3 linked regions of the Drosophila melanogaster genome follow. The protein of the gene in region 1 binds, or shares a complex with, the protein of each later gene. Each region holds a gene or a part of one and is shown in the gene's direction. Other genes may lie near its edges. The genes, in order: Dsor1, cnk and ksr.

The links.
Region 2: the proteins of Dsor1 (region 1) and cnk are in contact, whole or in part, in a cryo-EM structure (PDB 8BW9), measured with the Drosophila melanogaster proteins. Residues at the interface, in NP_511098.1 of Drosophila melanogaster: Arg200 (codon at 5,176), Gln255 (codon at 5,534), His258 (codon at 5,543), Gln262 (codon at 5,555), Tyr319 (codon at 5,726), Val321 (codon at 5,732), Asn322 (codon at 5,735), Glu323 (codon at 5,738), Pro324 (codon at 5,741), Lys347 (codon at 5,810), Gln348 (codon at 5,813), Asp350 (codon at 5,819), Glu351 (codon at 5,822), Arg352 (codon at 5,825), Ala353 (codon at 5,828), Asp354 (codon at 5,831), Lys356 (codon at 5,837); in NP_001286524.1 of Drosophila melanogaster: Arg46 (codon at 3,784), Tyr48 (codon at 3,790), Arg72 (codon at 3,862), Tyr76 (codon at 3,933), Thr92 (codon at 3,981), Lys95 (codon at 3,990), Asn96 (codon at 3,993), Arg99 (codon at 4,002), Arg103 (codon at 4,014), His117 (codon at 4,056), Arg121 (codon at 4,068).
Region 3: the proteins of Dsor1 (region 1) and ksr are in contact, whole or in part, in a cryo-EM structure (PDB 8BW9), measured with the Drosophila melanogaster proteins. Residues at the interface, in NP_511098.1 of Drosophila melanogaster: Gly98 (codon at 4,870), Gly99 (codon at 4,873), Lys123 (codon at 4,945), Asp236 (codon at 5,284), Met238 (codon at 5,290), Ala239 (codon at 5,293), Asn240 (codon at 5,296), Ser241 (codon at 5,299), Phe242 (codon at 5,302), Val243 (codon at 5,305), Gly244 (codon at 5,308), Thr245 (codon at 5,311), Ser247 (codon at 5,317), Met249 (codon at 5,323), Arg253 (codon at 5,528), Leu254 (codon at 5,531), Gln255 (codon at 5,534), Gly256 (codon at 5,537), Ala310 (codon at 5,699), Met311 (codon at 5,702), Ala312 (codon at 5,705), Ile313 (codon at 5,708), Phe314 (codon at 5,711), Leu317 (codon at 5,720), Asp318 (codon at 5,723), Val321 (codon at 5,732); in NP_001287177.1 of Drosophila melanogaster: Gln767, Tyr828, Asp830, Met831, Gly832, Leu833, Gly834, Val835, His837, Arg849, Ala850, Leu851, Gln852, Asp888, Gln889, Pro890, Ala891, Glu892, Ser893, Ile895, Trp896, Gln897, Gly899, Arg900.

The regions. Positions count from the first base shown.
Region 1 is NC_004354.4:9,243,854-9,252,562, forward strand, and holds Dsor1 (downstream of raf1), read left to right. Parts: upstream 1-3,488; 5' UTR 3,489-3,945; coding exon 3,946-4,055; intron 4,056-4,688; coding exon 4,689-5,328; intron 5,329-5,521; coding exon 5,522-5,848; intron 5,849-5,919; coding exon 5,920-6,033; 3' UTR 6,034-6,184; downstream 6,185-8,709. Other genes in the region: Larp7 (La related protein 7), read left to right, coding at 23-293, 354-1,870; amx (almondex), read right to left, coding at 2,354-3,208; CG17754 (uncharacterized protein), read left to right, coding at 6,917-7,176, 8,675-8,709. UniProt on the Drosophila melanogaster protein: Required downstream of Raf in the sevenless (sev), torso (tor), and Drosophila EGF receptor homolog (DER) signal transduction pathways.
Region 2 is NT_033778.4:17,411,889-17,422,953, reverse strand, and holds cnk (connector enhancer of ksr), read left to right. Parts: upstream 1-2,946; 5' UTR 2,947-3,485; coding exon 3,486-3,543; intron 3,544-3,706; coding exon 3,707-3,870; intron 3,871-3,929; coding exon 3,930-8,381; 3' UTR 8,382-8,984; downstream 8,985-11,065. Other genes in the region: l(2)k01209 (lethal (2) k01209), read right to left, coding at 1,008-1,267; Prosalpha5 (proteasome alpha5 subunit), read right to left, coding at 9,251-9,852, 9,911-10,043.
Region 3 is NT_033777.3:5,475,463-5,486,598, reverse strand, and holds ksr (kinase suppressor of ras), read left to right. Parts: upstream 1-2,692; 5' UTR 2,693-2,961; coding exon 2,962-5,862; 3' UTR 5,863-6,609; coding exon of another isoform or gene 6,610-6,753; 3' UTR 6,754-6,816; coding exon of another isoform or gene 6,817-6,966; 3' UTR 6,967-7,026; coding exon of another isoform or gene 7,027-7,212; 3' UTR 7,213-7,277; coding exon of another isoform or gene 7,278-7,481; 3' UTR 7,482-7,556; coding exon of another isoform or gene 7,557-7,713; 3' UTR 7,714-8,209; downstream 8,210-11,136. Other genes in the region: CG31550 (uncharacterized protein), read right to left, coding at 1-364, 419-960; Hcs (holocarboxylase synthetase), read right to left, coding at 1,692-1,869, 1,940-2,271, 6,610-6,753, 6,817-6,966, 7,027-7,212, 7,278-7,481, 7,557-7,713, 8,841-8,989 and 3 more.

The DNA.
Region 1 (8,709 bases):
ATTACTGGTTAACTGGCACTCAATGGCTGCCAAGAGTATCGAGAAGGAGAAGGGCGAGGGTCAGGAGCCCGCGACATCAGCGGAGAAACCCGATCCAGCCGCACCCACTGAACCAGCTGAGGAAAATTCCAAAGAACCGGCGCCGGAAGACGCATCGCCGGATAAAAAGGATGGTGGACGCAAAAGGAAGAGGCATTTGTTCAATTCGATTCGCGGTCAAATGGAATTCTACTTCGGTGACGCCAACTTGAGCAAGGATCGCTTCCTTCGGCGCTACGTAGAGCAGGATCCATGTGAGTAGCTAAGGTTGGCTCACCAGCCAACATAACACTGATCATGTTATTCTTTTACAGATGTACCATTGGAAATCTTTCTCACTTTCAATAAGATAAAGACGCTCACCCAGGATGTGCAGCAGATAGCCAAGGCACTAAGCAACTCCCAGCTTCTGGAGCTGGATGAGACCGAACTAAAGGTCAAGCGACGTACCAAGCTACCAGATCAGCGCGATGTCAACGACAAAACCTTGTATGTAGAGGCCCTGCCTGCAAATGCCACTCACGATTGGCTGAAGGAGGTATTCAGCCGCTACGGACCGGTGGCCTACGTGTCCCTGCCCCACTATCCGGGCACTAAGAAGATCAAGGAATTTGCCTTTATCGAGTTCGAAAAGAGCGGGTCCTTGGAGAAAGCTGTGAAGGCTTTTGCCCAGATACAGGGCGTTTTGTCCGTAGAAACCGATCCCAGTGATCTGGCCAGTGTGCGCTCCTTTCAGCAGCAGCAGCAGATACAACAGAAAGCGGAGCAGCCGCAGTCAGAGGCTGAACAGGTTGAGTTGCCAAAGCGAAATCTAAAAAGGGAGGCCACCGACAAGGATCGCGAGGAGATACACGAGGTGAAACGGGTTAAGTTGGAGGAGGGCCAGCCTAGCGAGACCTCTACAGCTGGGGAAACAGCGAGTGAAACGGATGCAGAGGGCACAGCCGAAGCCTCCGAGCAGGAGGACAAAACAGAGGCAACCGATGGCGATGAAGCTGCCAAAAAGCGCCGTCGCAAGCGCAAGAAGAAGGCGATCGTGGACAAGCCAAACATTGAGCCCAGTGCCCTGGAGCTCAAGGTGCTACCCAAGACTAGTTGGAGCAGTATGCGCAATAAGTACTTGAATCTACAGCGTCGCATCGTCAGTGAGGCAAAGAGCAAGCTGTGGCGAGAAAATCACCCACAAAATCAGCAGCACCCTCACCACCAGCAGACCAGTCATCCAAACCATCCGAAACCTTCACAGCTGCCCGAGGCAGTTAAAGAGGAGGAAACCGGAGGCGAGGTCCCTAGCGATGGCGGTGAAGGTGCCGTAGAAGCAGCGCCTGTGCCAGCCAAGCGTCGCAAGGCGGTGCACAAGATGAACATGAATTTCTACGGCGCCGGCGGCGTGGAATCCACCAAATCCGAAGAACCTTCGCAGGAACGCACGCCGCTCTTTAAATACGAGCCCGGGCTGATTGTGGAGTGCTCCCTGCTAAAACCATGCACCAATGTTAAAGAATTTAAGGCTGAAATGCGCCAATATCCGGATATTAAATATGTGGATATTAAGGAGGGCGACCAAGTGGCCCTACTACGTTTGGGCACGCCTGCCGCAGCCGAGGAACTGCTACGCCAGGTCAACTGCTCCGAGAGGCAGCTGAAAGTGCTCTCTGGCCAGCAGGAGACGCTCTATTGGCGAAAAATCGAGCAGGATCGCGAGGCGAAACTCTCGAAAAAGGTGCGCGTGCAGCAAAAACGCGGTCGCGAGAAAGTGGGCAAAATGCTGGGCAAGCACATTAAGTTTGATGATGGCGATGATGAAGTGCAGGCGGCCGCCATGGACTGAGTCACTTTCAGTTGAGGGGTGAGTTTGGATTTCATTTCAGGAAACTCTATAATATAAGCTATATAAATTTATAAATGTAAGCAAAAGATACATTTAGATCTAGCACAAGATTTCGTAATATTAGAGTAATATTGTAAAAACAAATTGAATTTTTAAAAAAGAAACTTCCTAGTGAAATTGAAATAAATCTTCTGAATGAAACAAACCATTTATTTTTACAAATTTGTCTGATCTTACAGGAACGAGAAAGAGATGGTTATATTTTCTCTTTCACTTATTTATTGATACGATCAAAGAATTGTGCTAGATAAAAGATACAAAAAAGAACTTTTGGCATTATTAATAAAATACATTTCCTAATTAATTATGTACACGTTTTTGAGAAGATCTTGCTATTCCTAATGGTTGCATATTTGCATTCGTTATTATGTACACTGTAATGGAAAAGTTAGCTTATGACCTATTAACCCCTGTAAAACTAAACTATATGTAAAGTGAGCCATCCGCTGGCCCCAAATAATGCATCGAGATGAGCAGGACATCGATGATGGTCCAGACGCCGAGGCCGCCAAAGCTGAACAGCTTTCCAATCCCTTCCTGCCAGTGGCCCAAGTAGAATCGATCGGCTCCAAAGCCCCCTAGCGTGAGGCTAATCAGCAGGGCTGTGCTCCACCGATAGCCCTGCGTCCAGTTGCATCGCAGGTTGCGGGTAAAGGATCGATTGCCGAGGCAGAGCACATCATGGTGCACGGTGCAGTTGGTACGGAATAGCTTATCCGTCGCCGAGTTGCAACTGGAGCGCTGGCCACAGCTCTGTTGCCACATTTCCGTTTGGTAGCAGTATCGGCAATTCATTTGTCGCTGGAAACTCCGTTCGCCCAGGCACTGGACATTGTTGATCACCTCGCAGGTTACATTCAAGTCCCGGCCGTAGATGCATCCATGATTGTAGTTGCAACGGATGCAGGGAAACTGCAGGCGATCACAGGGCGTTTCCTTATCGTACGGGCATAGCATGTTGTTGTTCCCATTGCTGCTACTGCTACTGCTGCTGCTGCTGTAGGCGGTTATGTTGTCCAGGAGTCCACCGGCACCTCCTCCACTCTTGGCCACCATGCTGGACACCAGGGGCGGCACATACACCTCGTTATCGTTGGCATTTCCATTGCCATTGCTCGCATTGCTGTTATCCTTGTGATCGCCTTTTGAGTCCGATAAGTCCATCTGGTTGCCACCGCTGGCCGTTTCGCTGTTCCTGATCCCCGTCAGCACGAAGATCATGATCAGGACAATGGCCGATCGCATGTTGACCACAATGCACTGTCGTTGGAGCCTCATTTTGGTCAGATAGAGCGGGGAATACGCCGGAAATGTTATTGTTTTTCCCTTTAAGAAAATGAGTGGGGTGGGAGAGTGTGACCGTATACGCGTGGCATGAAAATATCAACCGCGAATGCTCAGGAGAAATTTCTTTAAAAAGCGTATCGAATAGTTTATAGATATGTTTTGGCTCAATTAAATTGGCTAAACAGATAAGTATACCTCTCCCCTCATCGTAACAAATTAGTAATATCTAATCCTAATATCCTTTCCATTTAAGTTGTGACCATTGGCCGCTTTAGTCGTAGGAGTGTATTAACGGTATTTGGTAATCGCGACATCTGGCCATACCGCACCGTCTGCGAAAAAAACCCAAAAGTCGCCGATTTTGGCTGATTATTGCAAAAATAATATTAACTATCCGTTTGCTGTTCGTGTGCTCGGTTCGGGTGTGTTAAAGTTAAGCGCAACGCGAGGAATTGGTGCAAATTTACCAGCGGCTGGACACACAAAACGAAACATTCGCACTTGGCCTCCCTTCGCACGCCCCCTCGCCGACGCCCCTCGCCCCTCACACCCTTCAGCCGTTCGTCGGACGCCGCTGTTCGTAGTGCGTTTTGTTGTTGTTTCCACTGGAACACTCTCTATTTGTATTGTTTCATTTATTAGTTTTTTTTTGTTGTTGTTATTGTTGTGTGCTTTAACTTATCGGTAACGGATAACGGTATCGAGAGATATATATTATATATAGTAAGATGTCGAAGAACAAGCTGAATCTGGTGCTGCCGCCGGTAAATACGGAGGCAACTGTTGCCGCCGCCACAGTGGCGCCGACGCCGCCATTCAAAACCCCCTCGGGCACAGAGTAAATATTATACATAATATCCTTAATAACTGACTGGTTTTTAGGCCACCCATTCCAATAACACCGCATCCCCCCTCCCTCGCTGTTTCCCCTTCCACTCCTCGTTTTCGGTTTCCTACTCAGTGGTAAGATAATCCTGTAGTTTTGCGAGTTAGGTGGGTAATTAATATCCATCAATTGATCCAAGGAAATCCCATCCAGCTGGAAAGAAAGAGACAGTCGGAGTGAAAGAGCAGGTACTCTCTCTTTGTTTGTTGGTGTGGGTGGTGCTCCTTTCGTGTGACGCACAGGTACACAGCGAGAAAAAACTTACTGAGTAAATACAGTAAACTGTTTTAGTGCTTTTTGGATTAATTAACGGGATGACAAAGTCAGTTTCGAAGATAAATAGAAATTATAATTTAATAGTCCTACCTTTATCGTATATTTTTTTGTGAGCACCAAAATGTAGGCAACATAACATAACACAATACATATGTAATTTGATGTGTATGTTTGTGTAGTTTTCTTATTATTAGGAGAAACTTCGGCCCGCCCCTCATCCCATCCCCCACTTTCAAATCCCATCCATTGCTTGCACTTTTTACATTTTCGTTTTGGATCGCAAAAATTCATTAAGAGGTTAAATTAAAGCACACACAGTTTGCTGGGGAAGCCCAAGACGAGCATCGATGCGCTGACAGAGACGCTGGAGGGTCTGGACATGGGCGACACGGAACGCAAGCGGATCAAGATGTTCCTCAGCCAGAAGGAGAAGATCGGCGAGCTGTCCGACGAGGATCTGGAGAAGCTGGGCGAGCTCGGATCGGGCAATGGCGGCGTGGTGATGAAGGTCCGGCACACGCACACACACCTGATCATGGCCAGGAAACTGATCCATCTGGAGGTGAAGCCGGCGATCAAGAAACAGATCCTGCGCGAACTGAAAGTCCTGCACGAATGTAATTTCCCGCACATTGTCGGTTTCTACGGCGCCTTCTACAGCGACGGCGAGATCAGTATCTGCATGGAGTATATGGACGGTGGATCACTTGACCTGATCCTCAAGCGGGCCGGTCGAATACCAGAGTCCATTCTCGGCAGGATCACGCTGGCGGTGCTCAAGGGCTTGAGCTATCTGCGCGACAATCACGCCATCATCCACCGTGACGTGAAGCCGAGCAATATCCTCGTCAATAGCAGCGGCGAGATCAAGATCTGTGATTTCGGCGTCTCCGGTCAACTGATCGACTCGATGGCCAACTCCTTTGTGGGCACCCGTAGCTATATGTCGGTAAGTAACTGGATAGCTAATCAAAATCTATACTTAGGTGTATTAAACAACGGAAGGTCGATGAAATCGGCGAAAGTATTTAAAAAAGAACATTGCAATAGCAAAACAAGGCACTCATCTATGCACAGATGTTAAATATAGCCAACTATAAGAGATCTATATAACTCACATGCTAATGTCCTCTTTGTTTCAGCCGGAGCGATTGCAGGGCACCCACTACTCCGTGCAGTCGGACATCTGGTCGTTGGGTCTGTCGCTGGTGGAGATGGCCATCGGCATGTACCCCATCCCGCCGCCAAACACCGCCACCCTGGAGTCGATATTCGCCGACAATGCGGAGGAGAGCGGCCAGCCGACGGACGAGCCCAGGGCAATGGCCATCTTCGAGCTGCTGGATTATATTGTAAACGAACCGCCGCCCAAGCTAGAGCACAAGATCTTCTCCACCGAGTTCAAGGACTTCGTGGACATCTGCCTGAAGAAACAGCCCGACGAGCGGGCAGATCTCAAGACCCTGCTGGTAAGCAAACGAAACGTCGCCATTTCTTCAGTTATATATATATTCAAGTTGTTTTATGTATTCTTCGGCAGAGTCATCCGTGGATACGCAAGGCGGAATTGGAGGAGGTGGATATATCCGGCTGGGTGTGCAAGACAATGGACCTGCCGCCATCGACGCCAAAGCGTAATACGTCGCCCAACTAGACGCCTCTGCGTTCCGGCCCCCATTTTCTCTATCCTCCCATATCCACACTTGCTCTTTGTTCAATAGAGCGTTGACGCTGGGCAAAAACAACTGAACTATTATTATTATTATTATTAAATCGAAAATAAAGAAATCGAAGTCATACCATGTATGATGGGGTGTTCTTATTATTTGCATTGGAGGATTATCTTTAATTTTAAAATAATGCATAAAATTATAATGTGTTATTGCTAATCTTGCAAAAGGTTGAATACATAAGCGAATTAATTGTATCTCAATTAAATTTTGTCATTTTTATTCAGACTTCACTCCATTGTATGAAATACATTAATTCAAAAAAAAAAAAAAAAAGTATTTGCCGATCTAAATGGGAATCCCCTCAAAAAAATATATATTTCAAACAAAATATACTGAAGGTATTTTTGGATGTGCGTGTATTTTGGTCACACTGTGAGAAAATAAATAAATCAATTCAGTGTGGCCAGAGTGTGTCACAACAGCTGTGGAATTTGTATATAAACACATAAACTAAACGCATACACGGGCGCTCGTGCAGCTTGATACAGTTACAGTTACAGATCCAGCACGCAATTCGCGGCCAATTGAAACGATTCAAAGATCGCGAGTGGAATAGATCGGAGGCGACACCAACACACCAACACAACAGCACACAGACGTACGCGCACTGTGGCAAGAGGCAGCGTTCTTTGTTGCAAATTACCGTTGCATCCACCTTTCAGCGCCACCCCCTCCATCGGCCTCACCGATTCGCGATCCACGATCCGCCTTCTGCCAACCGCCGCCAGCCAGTTGCTTCCAGCCAGTGATCCGATGCAGACGTTTCGCTGAAAAGGAGCGCACAGCCAGAACAGAAGAAGAACCATGTCGGCGGTGAACCAGAAGGAGAGTCCCAGCCGGGACTCGACGGCCTCCACATCCGGGCACATATCGATGCTGGCTGACAACACATTGGAATCGCTGTCGCGGGACTACAGCCTGGGCAGCTTGAACTCGGCGGGCAGCCAGGATGAGTTCTTTCGCTGCCGAGACCATGCGGACAATATACTCAAACGGATGCAGCTCTACGTGGATAGCCAGCAGCTGTGCGATGTGGTCCTAATCGCTGGCATCGATGGAAAGAGGTGAGAGCACTGAATTCTGATCCTGGAACTACGATTCCTGGCGTTCCACATCACTGCGATCGATGTTGGAACGATGGTCGGCAAGCAGCGGGGATCGGGATCATGGAACTCCTAGTTTCCAATGCCAATTCCCCATACCCTTTCCACGGAGACAAAGGAATGGAATATGGCATTTCAAATTGGAAAGTTCATTAGCGATTCCCTCCCGCTTCCCCTTTATCCCGTCCACCACCTAACCCACCTCCGCCTTCCCCTCCTCCTGCCCCAGCTGACCTTCACTTGGGTTCTTTGTCTGCTCTCTTTGCTTTTTGTTGTTGTGGTTGTGTTGTGTTGTCCCCAACGCAATTTCAACAGCGCACACTCACACGCAAGATAGTAGCAACACGCAAAACCAGGAAATGCAGCTGCGGCCACAATAATAGCAACCAAGAAATGCAAATACAGCTGTTTTACAAATAATTGCAAGAAAAAAGAGTTTAACAAATCTGGTTTTCACTTTTGAGTGTATACTTAATTTCTATTTGCACAATTGCTCATTTTAGGTCGGCTTTAATTCACTTATCTCAGTGAGCATGCTGACGCACAAAGTTAGTTTAGTGAATTTTATTATTTTGACAGTAGCTGCATATCTACAGAATTAGCTGTGCATCTATAAAAGTTCAAAGTTTAAAAAAGATCCAAAAGTATTGGTTAATACTCAATGATTCGTTGTTGGCAATATTTTGACAATCGATCGAGTTTTATTGCATGTTTACTTAGCATTCGTTAATGGTAAACTTCTCAGCGTTTATTTTTGCATTGTTTGGAATTACACTATAGTTTATGTCTAGAGCCATTCATTTTTTGCTTGTTTGCTTATCAGCAAATGTGCCGATAAGCAGACCATTTGTTTATTACATCAATAATGATATCGGTTTGGATAAACTTGATTGGAAGTAATCTTGGTAAAGTGAAAAAATAACAAATTACTTGCATTTATCCGTTTCAAAGATACTAGTGAAATCCTTAATGTCCTTCTATTGTGACCGCTGCTGTGCGCATTGTTGCAATAGGAAGATAGGGGAAGAGAAAGACGGAGCAAAAGAGATCCCCATTTCGAGCTCCAAAGAGTGAGAAAGAGAAACAGAGGGTCCCCATTATGTAGATTTTGTTTTTGTTCGTCGAACAATGGCGATGCAACGCAACTGAGAGGGAAGTAACCGTCTCAGAAACAAAGACGAACACCACGGAGAGGCAACAAAAACTGCAGCATGGAAAGATACAGATACAACGATTCGCGATCCAAGTGCAGTAGTTGCAGCTCTATTTGATTTCGCTGCACTCAACCGGTTTTGGATCGTGAAAACCTGTCGATCTGTGCCATGGTAAACAAAGGGAAAAGAACCCACCAGCGTACAGTTGCGGTCACGAAAGTAGTGACACCACAAGCTAATATTTTTTTTCGGATTAACTCTTGCGAAAGTGTCCACAATTCAAGGATTTCACTTGGCTCTTTCAGGGTGCCCGCCCACCGCCTGGTGCTATCGGCGTCGA
Region 2 (11,065 bases), on another chromosome or scaffold:
CATGCAAAAACACTCATCATACAATTCTGGGAAGATTTCAAAAATAAGAAAACAGGGGCCGGCAGACAAAGCAACGCTAGACGTATCCATTTATCGAATGCTGCGTAGGCGCGTTCGTTGCACTCATTCTTTCCGCCTTTCTCTGTATCTTCTGCTCTTCATTTGCGTACCAAAATGAAATTCACCACACGGAAAGAAAAAACTGAGGATATATTTTTTTAGAATTCTGCAGAAGGTCAAAAAATGTTGTCAAAATTTTAGAACAATATTTATCATAACATAAAAACGATAAATATTAAAATAAGTTTGGGGTACTTGTGATAAAATGTAAATTTAGAAGAATCAAAAATGTTTCATTTTTCTCTCAGTGTGGGGCCAACAATCTGGTGACGCCACAGACGAGATTCCTCCGCATATTTTTAGTTTTTGCACACCAACAAAAGAAGCGAGAGATGAGCGCTTGCCACGTGTGCCGTGCTCTTCCCAAAAAAGGAACCAACAGGTTATGGCCTTCCAGGCGGGTGGGACAAGGACGGCAAGCGGGAGTTTCCTGGCGAGGGAGATGCAGGACATTGGGAGCCAAAGGGAGGCTAAGGGAACTGGAAATGGCAAACGTGGCTCATGTGTGTTGTTGTGATCGCTGCCATGTTGAAGAATCGAGAGAGCACTTGCTGACGCTATCATCGTTTCACCATTTGTTGTTACTTGCCGCGCGGCAGACTCAATAAACAATGTTAAACACAGCAAGCGTTAATTAAACACTGAGAATAGAAAGAGACGTCGCGAAACGGGAGACTGGACAAACAAGCGCAGCACCAAAACAATTAGAATGGCGGTAAATAACACACACAACAGAAACAACAAAAAGCACTCAAATACAAACACACACACACAAATATGCCTCTCTACAAATGAATGTACAAACATACATATATGAACGTCTGGTATGTAAAATGGGACTTCGATTGGTTTTTACGTTAAGAAATGGGGAAAATGCAATGAATTACATGTGACCATTGGTTTTGGCTGCTATAGCCTTAACCTTTGACTGCTGATGATGCTGTTGTTGTTGTTGCTGCTGCTGTTGATGTGGTTGCTGAAGTAGCTGTTGCTGCTGGTGGTTTGCGATGGTTAGTAAACCGGCGGATGCGGCTGCAAATGCTGAGTTCGCTTTTGCCCCTTTTGGAACATCGTTATTGCTACTATTAATGCTGTTGTTGTTGGTGTTGTGGCCCGACTTGCTGCACAAAAACGTGATGCTGCTCATTTTTAGCCCGATCCCGATCTGCCAGCGATTTTGAATCACTCAGTCCGTCGGCGTGGGCGTGAGAACTTGGATGTGGAGGCAGCAAGAACACAGCAACCGGCGATGCCAAGCCAAAATGGGTCACTCACTCACACAACGCTCACGCGAATCGCCGCCGGCGTGGATCACATGTGATTTAGAGTTTTTATTTCGTACGCAGCGATTCACCTTTTGCGTTGCGGCCAATATTTATTCGATAACTAATGAAAACAAAAAATTAAGCCAAAGGTGTAGCGAGAAGTGCGAGGTGAGCGGCGTTTGGGGATTGAATGACAAGAAAAAGTGTTAAGGCAGCTAAGGTTAAAAAGCTGCGCTGCGCTGCGGTTTCCTCTGCCGGCGTCGTCTCTGCATTGTTGTTGTCGCAAGCCTTCATAGAGGTGGGCATGTGGTACATGAGGTTTGGCGTGACACGACTCAGTCGAAGATGTGCTCTACATTTTAGCCAAATTTGCATAACAAATGTCTCTTTTACTTTTGTTAAGTGAAGGATATTTAATTTGTTAGAGAAAAAAATATTCTAATTTTTAGGCGCATAAAATCATAAAATATTTCACGCTACATATACTTATACACAAGTAATTTTTTATAGCATTCCACGGATCGCACCAAAGTTATTTTAATAATGTTTCTGTGGTATGAATATTATTTTTTCAAACTGCAACATTACAAGTTACTCGCTGACGCGCCCATCCCTAGCTTGTAACTGTTCTCGCAGGGTGTTCGCTTTGCCTTCTCTCTCACACTCTCTTCCGATCCGATGCAACCGGCGACTATATCGAAATTGAATTTATCACATGTTATGCGTTTGCACATGTAGTGGTGTTTGCGAACGCAGGCCCTATGCCATTTTCCCAGCATTTATTTATATTGCGTGATTAGAGGCCCCACGACGCACACATGTAAGTAGGTACGTACGTACATACGATGAATGACTTGGAGCACATGCTCTTTAGATATGTTTGTGCGCGGGTGTGTGTGTGAGTGTGTATCACATTCTAATGACTTCTGTTGGATTTTCACACTTTACTTTTGGCCGTGCGTGAATTAATGCGGCATTAAAAAGTCGTTCGTTACCTGTCGGAGCTAGCGGAACTCGATGGGTTGTAGAACTTGATTTGTTTCGTCTGGGTCACAGACATTTCGACAAGAGAATAGTGATTGCAGCAGCCAGTTGCAGCGATTAGAAAAAAACACGCGGTGATTTACTTCGTCGTGCCTCTCCCTCTCCGAGCAAGTGACTGATTCGTTTCTGAAGGCATTGCGTTGGAAAAACGTGCGCCGCCTTCGTATACATACATATGTATACATCTACCCGAGCTTGAATGGTCAAGTAAAGTGCTAATTGTCAGCTGGGGAAAGGCACTGGAGCGGAGGGACGCTCATTGCCTTGTTTATCTCCATTTGATGCTGTCATTGAGGCATTTATTTATATGTTTTGGGGCAATTCAATTCCATTCGCAAGGCGCTCAGCTGTTTGATTGGGGCGGCGACAGTGTTGCGAAGCGCTGTTGGCTGTTGGGTTGCAGTAAATTCGAATGTGAATGGCTAAATCCGAAGCGGGGTTTTTAAATGTTTGATAATTATTACTTCGAGCTTGTGTCAATATAAGTGAATATTTTACATAAAACTTTGTGGTTTCTAAAAGATTAGCTTACAACATGATCTTTAGGTACTAACAAATAAAAGGTTGTAAATAGCGGTAGTGCTCGGAAAATATATCAACATGAGACAATTACCAATTCGATTATTTTTTGTTGGTCCTCTATCGATAACTGTTACTCTTACTCTCTTGCACTGCAAGCCAAATTCATATTAATTAAGACTATAAAAATAAACACATACAGAAACATGTGGCTGTTTCCTGGCTATCTTGGATGGAGAAAGTAGTATGTAGTAGTATCATAATTTATAGTTTTCTTTCCTCTTGTTCTGTCCCTTAAAGAAACTTTGAATAAATTGCATTTTGTTCAGTTTTAAAATGCATTAAATAATCGATTGCCACGCTAGTTCGATAGTATTTAACGAGCACCGAGTATTGTTCGAGCTCTAAAAGATGGTCACTCCGGACCAGAGAGACGCAACAATATAGCAATTCTGAACTTGGTTCGAGTGTTTTTGCAGCACGAATTGATAATATGCCGTAGGTGCGGCCCAGCGCGGATCATCAGCAGCAGCAGCGATGGCCTACATCAACATCGCCGAGTGGACGCCCGACCAGGTCACCGACTGGATAAAAGGTAATGCTCGAGGTCAAGGAAAGCGCAGCTGAGAAAAAAAAAACTGCATCTCGCAGCCACTGCCCCAAAAAGCAGCAGCAACAACAAGTGCAACAAGAATTTCCGCTTTGTTCAAGGTTTCAACAGGCACATCATAATAATTATGTTTTCCTGATTCTCGCAGGTCTGGATGAGTCTATGAAGGGGTATTTGTACGAGTTCTCCAAGCAGGAGATCGGCGGACGGGCGTTGCTCAACATACGGCCATACGAGCTGGAGAATCTGGGCATGCTGCGCATTGGCCATCAGGAGATCGTGCTGGAGGCGGTGGAGAACTTAAGAAACTTCGTGAGACCCCAAACAAATATTGTGACATACAAACCCGTTAATTGAGCTTGATATTCCAGCATTATCACCTGAAAAACGACAATCTGCAGTTCATGGCCTTGCATGTGGCCACGGCAGCTAAGAATCTGCATCGCGAACTGGCCAGGAATCATGCGGAGAGCACTAAGATCGATACCCGGATACTGCACGATATTACCAGGACGATAGCTACTCTAAAGCCATTGGTGGGCAGCCTGGAGCGAACACCGTTCCGTAAGCAGGAGATGTACCGCGAGTATTGTGGCAATGTGCTCAAATGCGGCCTGGAGCTGGCCACAATTGCCCACCGTGATCGTTTTGCCCTGCAGCCGGTGCCAGCGATTCGACAGTCAGCGGAACGGCTCGAGAATCTTGCCAACTTTGTAATCCAGGACATATCTGATCCCATGGTACTGCAGCCAGCCTCTCTGAACCTTGTCACCCTTAAAAAACGCGAATCCGAGTTGGGTTTCAACATAGAGTCCAGTTATAATGGCATTCACCGTGTCACGGATATCAAGTACAACTCGCCAGCTCACAATTCCGGAAAAATCGAAGATGGCGACGAGATTGTGCAGATCAACTACCAGACCGTTGTGGGCTGGCAGCATCGCACAGTACTGGAGCATCTGAGGGAAGCACTTCCAGATGTGGTGCTGACGGTGAAGAAACGGCCGAAGCACACAAAGATGTTTGGACAGATCTATATGCAGCCGTACAGGTTGCCCAGCAAGAAGAGGAATATGGCCGCCCGCTGGGCGGCACAGATGCCAAGTCCCCGTGCTGCATTTTTAACCCTGGACACGGAGCAACTGGCAACAGGAGGAACAGGAAGCGCGGTGCCAGATCCCAGTAAATCCCTAAGCAGTGAGAAGAGGGAGGTACTTACCAAGGCCAATCCAGTGTCCTCTGCCTCCGACTCTGATTCCAGTTGCAGTGATATTCCAACACCAACGGATCCCAAGCTAGCCGCACGGGAGATCCGTTTGTATTACCCAAAGCCAAGAGCTTTGCTCCAACGAAGAAACACTATTTGTGGATGCGAGTATCTTAGCCTGAAAAACTCGGATCTAGTCGTTCCATCGTGGCACGAAAGAAAGCCAGGAATTGGTTCGCCCACCAATTGCGACCCTGGCTCGCCCAGTATACGGGATAAGTCGATATCCTTCGGTTATGGCCTAGAGATGGCAGCAAGGCCGACCACTTGCATTGGGATTGCGGGCGATACCTCCACGGACAAGGCCAGGCGAATGTTTCATGAGGCGCGAAAACTAAAGCAGCTGACGGAGGACTCGCAGCGCGAATTCCTCGTGGATCGTTACAAGCCGGGTGTCAGCAAAGTAGTTCGGTTCGACGCCAAGGAAGATTATGTGATGAAGAATGAAAAATTTATCTGTAACGTTGAGAACACCATACTGGAGACCTTTGAACCGATTCCCTTTGCGGATGAGGGAGACGAGGACGCCTTGGAAACGCTGCGCAACTGCAAAACAGAAAACGCAGAGGAGCTCCTAGAGGCAATTAATCTGGCTACAAAAGGTCAGGACTTGCCCCTGGCCGAGGCCATTAACATGCCTTTGTTGCAGCAAGGTCGAAGGGGCCGATTAGACAAGAGTCATAGTACTCCGGCATACGATAATTCGGGTGAAGAATCGGATACGCCGCCAGCGATTGAGCCAAGAAAGGAGTTCCTGCTTGTCACACCGCCAGCACCGCCACCGCGACCCCGCAAGCAAAGGGAAATGACGCCACCGGCGGTGCCTCCACCTCCACCAAAACCAGCCAGCATGCAGCCGGCTAGTAGTATCACCAGTATCTCCATTCCCGTGCCAGTACCTGTACCAGCCGCAGTTGATCCATCGGAGATCAGTGAGCTTCATACGCCCAGCAAATCCCGGACACTGACCCTTAAAAAGAAGCACAGCTTAATGGCCAAGCGGCGGAACACAAATCTCAAGCTGTTGGGGACTGGGGATATCCAAGGTCATCTGTACAGGCGCAAGAAAAATCATCGCGGAGTGACTTACTGGGCGAGAATCTATTTCGTGATGCTGGATACGATACTGTACGGATTTCGCAGTAAGCAGAGTACCAGCGCCAGCTTGGTAATATTTTTACCGGGCTTTACGGTTTCATTGGCAAAAGAAGTGCACTCCAAACCGCATGCCTTTAAAGTTTACCACACGGCCAAGAGCTTCTACTTTGCGGCCGAGTCGCTGGACGCACTTAACCAATGGGTGGACTTCTTGCGCCAGGCTTCGCTCAAAGTGCCGCCTAGTACGGGTTCAAAAGGCGGTGGTGACGCAAAGGATTTGTATTCGGAGAACGATAGCTCAGGCGAGGAATGCGATGCCCTTGTGATCCAGAATTTAAGCACGCCCTCGCCGCAAGGCAACAAGGAGTCAATGTCCATGTCGATGACACTATCTGGCGGAACACCACCTTCCTCTGCACCCATTAAGCATGAACGCGGCTACTTGGACTCGTTTCGCAAATTTACGAATACATTCAAGAGCAGTGCAGCGAAACCGTCGAGCGACATCCCTGTGCCAACGGAGCAATACCGCAGCTATAGGAAGGTGCCAGGCGGAAGTTTTGGCATTCAGATTGGTGCCAATACACCGGGCTACCATGATCCCGCAATGCCGCCGACACAGATTCCACCTTTGGTGGGTCCTAAACTGTCGCGTAGCTCAAGTAGGAGTTCGGTGGTCAGTGGAACCGAGTCTGCCGTATCATTATCTGCTTCGATTCTGGGTCCGCCCGCGTCGCCAGCGCCAACGCCCACGCCTACAGCCACTCCCACATCGCTGCAGCATCAGAGCTCCGAGGAGAGTCCAAGTCAGAGCCAGAGCCAGAGTCCCAGTAGCAAGTCGAGTTTGAAGAAGGCACCATTCAACTTCTTGCACGCCTCAAATCCGAATTTGGTGGAATTCGATTTCCATACCTCGAAAACACTACTCCCCAAGATGAGTGTGGGTAATACACTCGACCATGGCCATAATATACAGGGCTTTGTGACGCTTAAGGATCTGATGCTGCGCAAACAGGAGGAGGAGGCCCAGGAAATGTACAACAATCGAGTGCACTTGGGTGTGGAGAAGCACAAGCACGCACGGACGGAATCCACGGCCAGTCAGCAGAGCGCCATGAGCAGCAGCGTGACAAAGCCGCTGGAAAAGTTGCCCAAGATCCAGAGCGTGAGTCTGCCCAAAACACCCGACTACGAGATCAGTTTTAAGCCTGACGACGAGAGTATTAAGAGAACCAGAACTAAGGAAGGTCAGAAGTTGCGCGACTTTGGTTACGAGCTGATATGTGGGGATGAGCCGAGCACTAGCTCCATCAGCCGGCAAGAGCACCACCATCATCATCATCATCACCAGCACCACCTGCAGCATGTGCAACAGCAGCAGCAGCTACAACATCAGCAGACGCAGCAGCAACATAGCAGCAAGGCCAAGCACTTCTTGCGCTCACAGCAGTTACAGCTCTCCAGTTTCCTGCACAAGAACAGCAGCGGCGGCAGCGGCAAGAGTTCCGGATCCGGTGCGGATCAAAAGAAGTCCAAAGGAAAGTCTAGCGGCGATCGTCGGTTTCCCTTTTCCAAGCACTCAACTGGCTCCGCGGGCAGTGGCTGTGGGCCGGGTCATGCGATGACTATGACGCTGCCGCTGAACAAGAAGTCCAAATCGAATCACGCCTTGGATGGAGCCGTAGGCAATGGAGTCACCATAATCGGCAGCGGCAGCAGCATCAAGAAAAGCCAGACGTACAATCAGGATCTGCGAGACAAGATAGTGGGCACCAAGTACGATGCGCATCGCAAGAACTCGGCCCCGATACCAATCTTTTCGAAACTCTCCATATCGGGTGGCACGCCGGCGAAGCCCTCCAAGGAGAATCGTTTCCTGGGCTCACCGCTGCTGCATCGCACGCTGTTCGGGCACCATCACCATCAGCAGCAGGCAGTAACGCCACCAAGCAGTGCGGATCCCGATTGCGATCAGGAGATCTTCTCCCAAATCACCCTGCCCACGCACAATCAGGCGGGATATCGAAGTTACCGTGGACCTGGCATACTAACCACCTCGACCACTAATTTGTGCTCGTCGGAGGGCTTGCAGCCGCCGTTGCCCCCAGCGCCACCGCCTCCCGTCAACACCAGCAGGCAGAGAGAGGAGGAGCAAGCGGAGGCAACGATATCAGAGTGTGCGGCCACCCCAAAAGTGTCCAGTTCGGGATCTGTGGATTCGAAGGCGGCAACGCCGGACTATCCAAATATGGAGTGTCCGCCTGTCTTTGAGCCGGAAATCTACTCGCTCAGCGATACCAGCTTGTCCCGCATCGTGATGCGGACGCCCAGCAGCAGTGGTGCCACCAGTGCCACCGCCAGCACCACCACCACCAACAACAACAACAACAATAATAACACCAATAACAACACCAACACCAACAGCAGTCCCAGTGGCGGCGAACACCATCAGACCTAGATGTGTGATGAAAACTATTGTGAATGCTCGCGGGGATTAGCCCCCGTTTACTTATGTATTTATACACACGCATATAGATATATATATATATATTATATATAGCGATATTCTCGTACGATTTAGGTATACAACTTGTTCATTTTGATCGTCTTCCCTGTCTGTCCACCAGAAACAAACACACGCATACCTGCAATCCCTTCGATTCGAAACCCACTTAGATGTAAATGTTTAATCTGCCTTATTTGCATTGTATTTCGGTTCTAGGCAAAATGTTTTACACATGTAGTCACGCAAGCAAAACAATGAATTATAGCGAAAATGGAGAATAACTTTAGAAGTCTGTGCATCGAACAAAGACGGTTCTTTATGATTTGCCTTTGTACGCGATTAACCAAGTTAATCCGAGCTGTTTGATTTGCTCAACAGTTTGTGTCTAGATTGCGTGTAATATACATATATTATTATGCGAAATGAGATATTATTGTAATGGCATCCAGCGACGCCAATGGAGCCAGAAATGTTGTAGCGGAATGCAAGAAATATATATATACACAATTACACGAAATATACATGCATACGAATAAAGTCAACTGTACATAATAGAATAACGATCTTTTTATTTTGGGATTTTTCAAGAAACAGGTTGTTTCATTAGAGGAGGATTGAAAATCTTTTTATGCACGCAACTTATTCAAAGACCTAAGAAATGAGAATCTCTGGACAGAAGTGCTGAACCCTGCTTCTTTTTACTAATGTAACCAAATCAACTTGATCAAAACGAGTATTACCTTCTATTATTAGTTCGATTTAGAATCCCTTTCTTTATTCACATTACATTTGAAATTAGATCAATTTAAAACCACTGCCGCTTACGCAATGTTCTTAATGTGCTGCTCCACCTCCTCCTTGGTGAACATGTAGAACTCTCTTTCTTTCGTCATGGTCATCACCTCCACATTGGTGGAGTTTAGTTTCTCCTCCATAACCTGTTTAAGTGTGTTGAGCGAAATGTCGATAGCCTCATCGAGAGTCAAATCGGGTCTAAATAAGTCCTGCAGATTCTGCTGAGCACCTTCGCTGCCCGAGCCAATGGCCTTGGCTCCGTGGCGCACGAATGTGCCGGAGGGATCCATGTGCCACAACTGGGGTTGTCCCGCCTCGATGCCGGCAAATAGAATGGCCACACCAAAGGGACGACTCATGGCGGCGGCACCATCGCTGTCGCCACTATCACCGAACTGGATGGCCAAAGTGGACACAGCCTGGGCGCAGGACTCGATGGACATGCGCTCGTTGTAGACGAACCAGTGGTTCTGGCACTCCACGCGTGCCCTCTCGATCAGAGTCCTGGCATCGGCCATCAAGCCGGAGGTGGCGCAACCAATGTGCTTGTCCACCTCCACAATCTTCTCCACAGTACTGGGTACCATTAGCGGCGAAGTGATGCGCTTCTCCACCGCCAAAACCACTCCTGGAATGCAATTTTACCATTAGATCTCCGCGTGTACTTATGGCAGCAAAGAACATACCTTCTGGCGTGCAAATTCCAATTGCTGTGGAGCCCAATTTGATGGCCTCAATGGCATATTCCACTTGGAAGAGGCGGCCCTCCGGCGAGAAGGTGTTCACGCCTCTGTCGTACTCGGAACGCGTGAGAAACATGGTGGGCTGTAATTTAGTTAAGTGTTATGCACGCTGGTTGACAAATAACACTTCGAAAAGGGCTTACTTTTCTATAATTTCCTTAACAAAATCGCAAACAAATGCCGGATGACTTGACGCTGAAATGACTTGCGGATAAAGTGCCGTCTCTGATTATATCGATAACTAGTGCTGCCACATTATTCGATTGATAATATTACTGTACTAAACATGGGTTGGCAGCTCTGCATCAAAATTGGTTGATCTGGCAAGTTTGTCGCTGTTAATTTTTACACATATTTAAATAAAAAATTAAATTGATATTTTAAGTTTTCATTTACAATTACGATCACAAAGAATATTTTGAAGAAGTAAAAGATTTTTAAGGTATTTTCAATATAGTTTTTAGAAATCTTAATCTTATAGGTTTTTGACTGAATTAACTGAAAATAGCTCTGCTGCAATGCCAATCAAGTTTCTTGCATTTCCCGCTTTAATGCCCAAATTGACATGATTGCCATTAAGCCTTTAAATGGTTATATAAGTCAAACAACCAGTTAAGTGTTGGACTACTTCAAGGACCCGGTTTAATTACCAATTTCCAGATACGTTTATTACTTGATACTGGCTACTATCATCTAAATATCTATTTTTAATTTCCGATATATTTTCATTAGCTTCACATACGAATCAGTGTAATGTGGACTAAAGGAAGCAGTTGCATAACAATCGAATTAAGAGATTTACTTTCACATTGGCGGCTCGTCGGTTTGCCCGACTGTCCAATTATGGCAATTTCAAATCTAATCACACCCCACACGCACAGTCTCCAATGGTCAGAAAATCCCCGCGTTACAAGAGAAGCCATGATTGAATGGAAATGGAATAACGATTGGGTCAAGGTTGCCATCTTGTTTTACCCTTCTTTCAAAGATAAAGCGAACGTGCGCCACAAGATGCGAAGATTTCTGAAGATTTGGGAGTGGCGCGAAGAGAAGAGCAGGGGAGAAGTATTGCCACCATTTAACCAAAAAAAAAAAAAA
Region 3 (11,136 bases), on another chromosome or scaffold:
CTGCATGTAAATCTGTCCCATGTTGGTCAGAGCGATGGGCAGCTGTGGAGGCGGTGGAGGTGGCGGAGGAGCAACTGCCGCCGGATGCAAGTGCAGAGGCAAATGGCCGTGGAAGAATGCAGCTGGCAGCTGCATCTGCGGTGGTCCCTGTTGCAAAAGCGTAGGATTGAATGCAAATGGAGGCGGCGGTGGTGGCTGCACTGCTTGCACGGGTAGTCCAAAAGCCAAATGAGTTGGCGCCGAGCTGGTCACCGTAATGGAGGTAGCCATGGCTGCTGCCGAGCTTATGGCGATGGCCGCCTCTAGCTGGGGACTGTTGTTCTGCTCTGCTGTTTCCGTGTCCACGGCTTTGTTCTCCTCGGCGCTATAATTACCCACAAATTAATATACATTAATATTTTTACGATAGTGGACTCACCTGGGCACTGGAACCGGCGGAACAATCAAGGGCTGCGGAGGCTTTTCGTGCTTTTCGAGTATTTTCTTGAAGTTCTCTAAAAAGGAACCATCGTTGCAGAAAGTGTTTTTAACCTTCGGTGGTGGCTGCTCAACACTGGGCTGAGGCAGCTGCTGACGCTTCATGCCAAATGTGATCTTGCCCGTTTTGCCAGTGAAGCTATTCAGCGTCTTGGGGGCCACCGCGTCCTCCGTCTTTCCCTTGCTGGCCGTGGCCTCAATGTGAACAGCCTCCAGGCCATCCTCGCCGGCCGCTAGAGAGGTGTCCTGGACGGCGGTGTCCAGGTATCGGGCATCCTCCTCATACTCCACCTCGTTGCCAATGGGTTTTCCCACAGTCGTCTCGGTTTTCAGCTGCGCTGCCAAGTTCTGCGCCGCGGCCACCGCCTTCGCCAGCTGTGCCGTCTTCTGCTTCTCGAGGATCTCTTGCCGTTTCTTGGCTATGATCTCCTCCTGCTTTGTCATCTGGGCGAAGCGGTCCACTCTGTGATTTCGCTGTGACATAATTCCCAATGCCGCAGACTCCGTTTTATTCCACAATTTTCTTTTCCAGCAAAGCAACAGTGTAACCAACTCACATACTTGGAATTATACCAAGTCTTCGCATCACCAGTGTTGACAATTTTATAGGAAACTACACTGTCAAGCTCTCTTTAGTTCAGTTCAAAAAAATTTTAAAAAATATAACTTTCTAATGAAAGTTCAGTTCAAAAAAAAATTTTAGAAGAATAATAAAATAAACAATTTTAGAATAAAAAAATTATGTAATAAAAAAATCCATCTTAAATTTAAGATAAGACCTGTGCGGCAGTTAATCTCAGTGGTCTAAGGTCAGCAATGATCGAATATGTATTTATTAAATTCAAATTTCAAAAACACCCGTATGCAGAGGAATCGATGGCGATAACAATGGTAACAAACGCGATTATCTTACGAAGTAATTTCCAAACACTGGTTTATAGGGAACAAACAAATGTACCTGTCATTATAAATATTTTGAGACTTCCTTTAACATATAATTCTCTTTGGCAGTATTTAATTTAGTGGATTAAATTATCCATTATTATTTCGTAAAGCCACTTAAGAAGAATCACCTTGTAAATATTTATAAGGATAAACGTTTTTACGTAGTTATAAATTGACCTAAATTTGCCTAAAAAGTACAAGTTGCTTAAGGGCCAATTAAACTAGAGGGTTCGGGGAATAATATGAGTTTTCACATCTGCTTCATTTCACTATTGATACTTGGGTATAATCAATCCCTTCAACATATCAAAGCTGTTTCCATCGGGCTGCACAATTTCTATAGTACCAGTTGGTAATTTCACCTCCAAAAATCCAAAGTCATCGATTCCCACAATTTCGGCCTCTTTTTCCTGATCTTTTTGTAGGCAAATCTTAACAGATTGCCCGCTGTACATAAAAACATGTTAGTAAATGTAATATGCAAATTAAATGTATTTTAAAAATGTTTTAAATTTACCTGTGTAACCATAGCGAATAGTATAATGCATAAAAACTATCAAAGTCTCCGTTTTGTACTTCTCCCAAAAGTCTTTCGATTTCATTGAATATCATGGCAATAAGTAGCTCGTACTTAAGTATAGGTAACTTGTTGTTCGGGACACGGGTATTATATTCTCTTATCAAGTCATTGATGCAAACTGTTGGTCTTGAATTGTTCAAATTAATTCCACTTCCGATATTGACGATGGCTTGGGATCCCTGAAGTGTGGTATTAATGACGAGGCCCCCAATTTTCTGATTTCCATTTGCATAAATGTCATTCGGCCACTTAATGGAAATATCCAGCACCTGAAGGTGATATGAATAAATTAAGTAAAACTCGCCTATCTCCGTAATATTACATATCATAAAATATAAATTGGAACATCAAATATTAACTTAAAAAAATTATTTTTAGTTATAAAATTAAAATATTAAAATAATATCTACCTAATTTCCATTTCCAAATAATAAAATATAAATATTAAAATATTTGACTTATTTCGACTAATAAAATAAAAATGTGAAAATAATTTCTGGATTAATTTTTCAAATAGAATTGAAATATATATGCTATATACACTCGAAGACATAATATAATTACAACATAAGAATAATAATACTTAACGTTCTATTTTTTTTAAATACAGAGGAGTGCCCCTAAGTTTTTCGGATAAGTGCTTTTAGTACATTTTGGTGTGCAGTGAGAAGGAGTCCTCCCGGGTATGGTCACACTTCTCTCGATGCGCTACTTGGGTGTAGAGAAATTTCAACAACAGCCGAGGAACTTGTACAAATTATTGCTTTTTCGCATTGCCTAAGCCGTTTAGAGTTGCGGGCGTTAGCGTGCGCGATAGCCGGAGCACCGAACGTCAAGGTCGCTTGGCGAGGGCCACAATGCGGGGCGGAGTCCCAGCCATTGGTCCCATCGAATCGTCGAGTCCCCGAGGGGGCGTCTGAAAAAATCAATCGGGCTCCACTCCGTCGCGAATAAGCAGGATGAGCAGCAACAACAACGCACCCGCATCGGCTCCAGACACGGGCTCCACCAATGCCAACGATCCCATCTCCGGTTCGCTGTCCGTAGACAGCAACCTGGTTATCATTCAGGACATGATTGATCTCTCGGCCAACCATCTGGAGGGCCTGCGAACGCAGTGCGCGATCAGCTCCACGCTGACGCAGCAGGAGATTCGTTGCCTGGAGTCGAAGCTGGTGCGATACTTCTCCGAGCTGCTGCTGGCGAAGATGCGGCTAAATGAGCGCATCCCGGCCAACGGGCTTGTGCCCCACACAACGGGCAACGAACTGAGGCAATGGCTGCGCGTAGTGGGCCTTAGCCAGGGGACTCTTACCGCCTGCCTTGCTCGCCTGACCACTCTAGAGCAAAGCCTGCGTCTCAGCGACGAGGAGATCCGTCAACTCCTGGCTGACAGCCCCAGCCAGCGAGAGGAGGAGGAACTGCGACGCCTGACCAGGGCCATGCAGAACTTAAGGAAGTGCATGGAGTCGCTGGAGAGCGGTACTGCGGCTAGCAACAACGATCCAGAGCAGTGGCACTGGGACTCCTGGGACAGGCCCACCCACATTCATCGCGGCAGTGTGGGAAACATTGGACTGGGTAACAATTCAACCGCCTCCCCGAGAACCCATCATCGCCAGCATGGTGTCAAGGGAAAGAATTCCGCTCTGGCCAACTCCACCAACTTCAAAAGTGGCCGCCAATCGCCCTCAGCGACAGAAGAGCTGAACAGCACACAGGGTTCCCAGCTGACTTTAACCCTTACGCCCTCGCCACCCAATTCGCCCTTCACGCCTTCCAGTGGGCTGAGCAGCAGCCTTAATGGAACACCACAGAGGAGTCGTGGTACCCCGCCGCCAGCTAGAAAGCACCAGACCTTGCTGAGCCAGAGTCATGTGCAAGTGGACGGGGAGCAATTAGCCCGCAACCGTTTGCCCACTGATCCCAGCCCCGATAGCCACAGCTCCACCAGCTCGGACATCTTTGTGGACCCAAATACTAATGCCAGCTCCGGAGGAAGTTCCTCGAACGTGCTTATGGTGCCATGCTCTCCGGGCGTGGGTCACGTGGGCATGGGTCATGCAATCAAGCATCGTTTCACCAAGGCCCTGGGCTTCATGGCCACCTGTACCCTGTGCCAGAAGCAGGTCTTTCACCGCTGGATGAAGTGCACCGACTGCAAGTACATCTGCCACAAGTCATGCGCACCGCACGTACCGCCCTCCTGTGGACTTCCACGAGAATATGTGGACGAGTTTCGGCACATAAAGGAGCAGGGAGGATACGCCAGTCTGCCGCATGTGCATGGCGCGGCGAAAGGATCCCCTTTGGTAAAAAAGAGCACCCTGGGTAAGCCCTTGCATCAGCAGCACGGCGATAGCAGTTCGCCGAGTTCCAGCTGCACTAGTTCCACGCCCAGCAGTCCGGCGCTGTTCCAGCAAAGGGAGCGCGAGCTGGATCAGGCGGGCAGCAGCTCTAGCGCCAATCTGTTACCTACGCCTTCGCTTGGCAAGCACCAGCCGAGTCAATTCAACTTTCCCAACGTGACGGTGACGAGCAGTGGCGGAAGCGGTGGTGTATCGCTCATCTCCAATGAACCAGTGCCAGAGCAATTCCCCACGGCGCCTGCAACAGCCAACGGAGGACTTGATAGTCTGGTGAGCAGCTCCAACGGGCACATGAGCTCGCTCATCGGTAGCCAAACTTCAAACGCTTCTACTGCGGCCACCTTGACGGGCAGTCTGGTCAATAGCACAACCACCACCAGCACCTGCAGTTTCTTTCCGCGAAAATTGAGCACAGCCGGTGTGGATAAGAGGACGCCGTTCACCAGCGAGTACACGGATACCCACAAGTCAAATGACAGCGACAAGACAGTCTCCTTGTCTGGAAGTGCCAGCACGGACTCGGACCGGACACCCGTTCGTGTGGATTCAACGGAAGACGGAGACTCGGGACAATGGCGCCAGAACTCGATCTCACTCAAGGAATGGGACATCCCGTATGGTGATCTGCTTCTGCTCGAGCGGATAGGGCAGGGACGCTTCGGCACCGTGCATCGAGCCCTTTGGCACGGAGATGTGGCGGTTAAGCTGCTCAACGAGGACTATCTGCAAGACGAACACATGCTGGAGACGTTTCGCAGCGAGGTAGCCAACTTCAAGAACACTCGACACGAGAACCTGGTGCTGTTCATGGGAGCCTGCATGAACCCACCATATTTGGCCATTGTGACTTCATTGTGCAAGGGCAACACCTTGTATACGTATATTCACCAGCGTCGGGAGAAGTTTGCCATGAACCGGACTCTCCTCATTGCCCAGCAGATCGCCCAGGGCATGGGCTACCTGCACGCAAGGGAGATCATCCACAAAGATCTGCGCACCAAGAACATCTTCATCGAGAACGGCAAGGTGATTATCACGGACTTTGGGCTGTTCAGCTCCACCAAGCTGCTCTACTGTGATATGGGCCTAGGAGTGCCCCACAACTGGTTGTGCTACCTGGCGCCGGAGCTAATCCGAGCATTGCAGCCGGAGAAGCCGCGTGGAGAGTGTCTGGAGTTCACCCCATACTCCGATGTCTACTCTTTCGGAACCGTTTGGTACGAGCTAATCTGCGGCGAGTTCACATTCAAGGATCAGCCGGCGGAATCGATCATCTGGCAGGTTGGCCGTGGGATGAAGCAGTCGCTGGCCAACCTGCAGTCTGGACGGGATGTCAAGGACTTGCTGATGCTGTGCTGGACCTACGAGAAGGAGCACCGGCCGCAGTTCGCACGCCTGCTCTCCCTGCTGGAGCATCTTCCCAAGAAGCGTCTGGCGCGCAGTCCCTCCCACCCCGTCAACCTTTCCCGTTCCGCCGAGTCCGTGTTCTGAGGGAACTGCAGCATGGCCACTGTCACTGTCTAGTACAATTTCGATCTACCAACTAAGCTAGCTCGCTTTGTGCCCTCGTCCACTCTACACAAACTCTCTCCCAAGGCGAAGTTCTATCGAGCCGAGCGAAGATTGTAAATACATAAACGTAACTACCAAATTATAGCAATCCATTTTAAAAACTACATACATATGTGTAGGCATGTATCGGGAGCACTCCAGTTGCAGTTGTTAGCAAACGAAACAAAGGCAAATCAAATGTTAACTCGAAAAAGACAAAACGCTTAAATGTTTAAGAGCAGAGGCAAACAGAGAAGGCATAGACATACATATACAAACAAACAAACAAGCACTGTGGCAAACATAAATGTAAACGTTAATCAGGTGAGCAATTTCTAAATTGTTAATTATGTGTAAGAGAACTATATATATATATATATATATATATATATATATATATATATATATACATGTATATACAGCAGCAATGTATTGTATATGACGGACTAGTGTTAAATTAAATATATATTGTGAATTATGTATGGTCAAGTGTATATAGTAAATGGACTTTAAATGCGAAATCGAAACAAAATGTCAAATAAACTTATTAAACCTAAAAAATCACTTTGTGCACTTGGCAGTTTTACAGATCCTGAGGTTCGTCCCATCGTCCCACAGGCGGAGATAATCGAAACAATCTTAACTTAAGATTCAACTAAATGGTAAAACTTTACAGTCTTGACTCACCCCGTACTCTTCATGACTGCGGAGCGAATTAACAATCGCCGTTCCAACAAGGTGCTGCAACAGAGGCAGCCGAGAGCTCAAAGCGCTGTCCATGGTCAGGTGCAGCTGCAGCGAGAACATGGCACAGCCCGGCGGACTAAGCCACTGGAAAGCACAAAGCGATGATTTCAACAAGAACTTAAATCTGGATGCTTCTAGAGTACTAACTTGATTATTTCTGCGACCCACTCCGGACGTCTGCTGCACGGGGAGCACAGCCAGGCCGTGGATGAGCTCCAGGTTGTTTATGAGATGCATGGAGCTGCTGACCACCGGTGCATAGATGACCAGTCGTCCGATGTGTTCCGTCTTAAGATTCTTTAAAATAAGAGGAATTTGGGTTAATTCTGCTATAGACTAGAATTAGAATGCGCTCACATCGAAGTAATCCACGGTGGAGAAGTCATCCGGACAGGAATGTATGAGTATGGGCAGGACATTGTTGTTGGCCACTGGAGGCTTATCGTCCTTGCCACAGAACTTCATCGTCAGGTTCGGCGTTGCTATCACGTTGTCGGATCCGCTGCAGCGCAGACGTAGCTTCTCCAGAAGCTCAAACTTGGCCTGAATAACAAAAAGAGCTAGAATATTGGATTCTGATGCCAAAACAAATGGAGAGACGAACTGACCTCGTGCCGACCTAGGAAATATGCGTGCTTGTAGACAACTCCAGGCTGCGGCTGGTCGACACCGTCTCCACCGCGGACCTGCACATCCAAGTACTTTCCCAGGAGATCCGCAAATATCTCGAGGCGAGTTCGCTCGTTTTGCTTTAGAATGGAGTACTTAGTCTCATCGGATTCAAATTCGCTGGGATTCATTTCCAAGTGCACCTGTTTTTTTTTTTGTTTCATAGGAATGTTTTTTTTTAATATATGTTTGTTATATTTACATGAGCAATCACTTACTTGGGAGAAGACGGCCTTTCCGCCGCTCTGCAGGCTTTTGGCCAACATCAAGCTGGGCGTATTCCAGGTTTCCTCGGTTCCCAGCACATGGACATCCAAATTGTGGCTGTGACCGGCCAGATCCTTCAGTTCCATGGACCTTGGACATACTAGAGCTCTGAGCAGCGTTTCGTGGTTTGATTTGTGTTTTTTTTTCGATTTTTGTTTGTTTTTGGTTTGTTGTTATTTTAGTTATTGGTAGGATGGATTATAATAGTGATAGCACACACATATAGAAGCACACGCAGAAATTTAAGGATTTAGAAGGTAAACGTAGCAGGATGGTGAAAAGGTTTGAAATGCCAAATGTTTATAACACAATTAAACAATTAAATTACATGGATGGCACATTCAATCGATAAAAAACAAGAGTTAAGAGAGCTTACAGAAAACATAGATAGGTTAGTTAGTTAGGCGGATTGAAAACGGAGTTTAGATAGATGGATTACAGTGCACACCGAATCAAATAGAAATTAAGCCATATTTAGAGTAAACGAGACCAATTTGAGCATGAAACATTTGAGAAATAAAATGAGAATTGGAATTGGTTAGAATCGGTTTAGTATAAGAACGATTAATTAGGATTAATTCATTTCATTTCAAGCCCCATTCAGAAAAAGTAATAATATACATAAATGAAACAAGACAGGAGGTTGGTTTCGGCAGGCCGAAGTTCATATACCCTTGCAGAAATTACATATGTATATGTCAAGAAAAAATATAATACAAATTAAAACGGGAATTATATATTCCATTTTTATTTCATTTATTTTTCGATTATTCCTATGGAAGCTATAAGAAATAGAGGACCGATTATTCCCTTTTCTTACTTACATATTTCAGGAGGAAGTCTTTTCATGCAAACAGCTTTAAAACTGAGAGGCTAGAATCCTTAAAACTGGATGAACAGACGGACTTGGCTGGTAAAACTGATCAAGAATGAAGAAAGTGCCTTTTAACCCTTTAAGCCCTGAAAACTTCTGACTGGAAGATATATACCTTCTGCAAGGGTCTAAAAAGTAAAGCGTTATAACTTGGCCTCTTTTTTACAATTTACCCGACGGCTGTGCAATAATCGACTTGAATAGGGCTTTCGGGTGTATAAAACATGCAACATTTCGGTTTCAAATACACTGATACTCAGTTAATGGGCTATTTGTTATTGGCACTATTAAGAAGATCGGCAAGGTTAGCAATGTGTTTTGGTCACTGGCAGTCTGGATGGGAGCAGCAATAGCTACTTACGGTTTGCGAGAGTGCGACTTGGTGGACTCCTCGCTGTCAGTGGAGAAGTGCTTCTTCACCGGCGACGGTTGGTAGCAAAAGATGTGGTGCATCATCTTGACCCGCTGCCACTTGTCATAGGAGAACTGAACCAATTCGTGCTCTCGAACCTGTAGAACACGGGATGGATGTTGGCGAATTTGGGTATATTTTCCACAAAACAGAGTCCTACCTCCGCTGTGCGATAGTTGGGGAGTACAAAGTGCAGTATATCCGAGCACAGGCTTAACACCTTGCCGCCCTGCAGAAAGTAGTCCACCAATATCTGCCCAATTCCGTGTGCCACCGATCCGCAGACGACCAGCAACGCAGTCTGTTCCGTCCAGTATTTTTGAGCCGCTTGCTGAGGCATCAGAGGATAGATCGTGTACACATTGCGCTCCAGCAGCTGCTGCAGAGTGGCCAATGTGGATTCCCGCGCACTGGCGCTGTCTGAGTAGACCAAAACATTCAATGGTTTTGCGTCCTGCAGGCTATCCTTGTTGCGTTGCAGCACAGGACGCGAGGGAGCAGCTCTGGATGACGGAGGAGAATTTAACGGCTTTACCGCCTCAAAGGATTTCCTGGGCTTCGTTGGCTGATCTGATGCCTTATCAGGCTCATCATGTTTACTTAGCATAGGTGGTTTAGCTAAGAAAGCAGCCTTGACGGGAGAGACCTGGACTGCCTCTTTCTTCTGCTGCTGCGCTGCCTGGACAGCCGCTAGTTTCTCTAGTTCGCTTGTCTTTAATGCACCCTTAGTTGGCGTTAACTTGGAGTCCTCTTTGCTTGTGGCTGGCGTGCCCTCGCTCTTGGCAAGAGTGGCGGGTTTGGCATCGCTTTTAGTCGGAAAAGGTTTTGTTGACGTTCCCTTGGCCTCGGCTTTGAGCGAGGCTTCTGTCGTCCTTGCCGGAGACAGATATGCCTTGTTGGTGGGCTCCACCACGGCCACAGCCTTGGCCAAAAGCTCCGAAGTCGGGCGTTGATCATGTGTGGTGGGATCCGATTTCGTTCTTCCCTCAGAGCGATTCCTCTGGTACTCGAACTCGGTGGCCTGGTGCGCCAGCACACCTACGGCACGCAAGTCCTCCATGTGCTTCTTCCATCCATCCTTGTCCAGACCGACGCTTATGCGGGATTGCCGCTTCAGATGCTTGGCCAGAAGCTCAAAGGGCTGCGGATCCCCTTCCCGTTGCACCGCTGGGAGGGAGAAACAATAAATCAGTGGGATTTTTAAGATGAAGTCAAATTCTTAAAACGATTTCAGGTGCAGCTTACACTCAATCCGCAAAAGTGGCAGCTGATCGTTAATGCATAAATTATTTCTCAAGAAAGTCGTTATCAAAAGTTTCGTGAAGTGCTCGACGTCTGTTTCGATGAGCACCGCCAGGTGGGAATCTATTTTCCAAGCAATTAGCTTACCGTAATCTTCCAGCTGATTCATGGGCCGCCGACATGCAAGAAGAAGAAAGGACACACGAGAGGATACCCCTAGTTAGTGTAGTCGTATGTATGTATGTATGACGCCAGCGCTCTAATCGATTCAACCATGTACATCTTAATAAGATTACCGCACGCAACACCGTCCACATTGCGGCGTCACCCGAAGGTCGATTGTCCCTATCTGTTCTCATTATGATGATACAAAGTGGGCTAACTTTAATTACGGTAGCATTCTTAAGATACTTTGGAGTAATATTCGTAGTCCCCCTTTAATGGTGAATTCCAAACTATGTAGTTAAAAGTCCATTAAAAAGCTATTCCTACATCCTGAAGTCTTTGAACTATTCTGTTGCAAATAAACATGTATAAACATGTATTTGTGGACTCCGAATTGTGGCAATTAAACATTTATAACTTGAATTTGCTTAAGCCTTACTGTTTTTTATTGATGGATTTGGAGATTAAAAAAAACGCAACACGCCGTCGGGTTAACTTACCCGTACTGCTGATGTGTCCTCGGAGCTGGGCCGCTGTAGTGGCTCTATGTCGGCCTCAAGGAGCAGCTGCATCCGCTCCTCCCCTTGGGCAGAGAGCGAAACCCGTTGTTGGCGCGGGACGTCCGCCTCCGTGGGCGTGGACGCCGGCGTTAACGTGTCGGCGGCATAGGAGAAGGGAAGCAGACTGGGCGCCGGCGGAAAGCTGATCCAAGGCGTGATGTGTAGCGTTTGCAGCGGACGCAGGCAGCAACCCCGCTGGTTGGCGTGCAGCCACAGGATGTCCGTGACCTTGGCCGCGTTCCGATTGCAGCACAACTCCGAGCTGGCCAGGGCGGGAT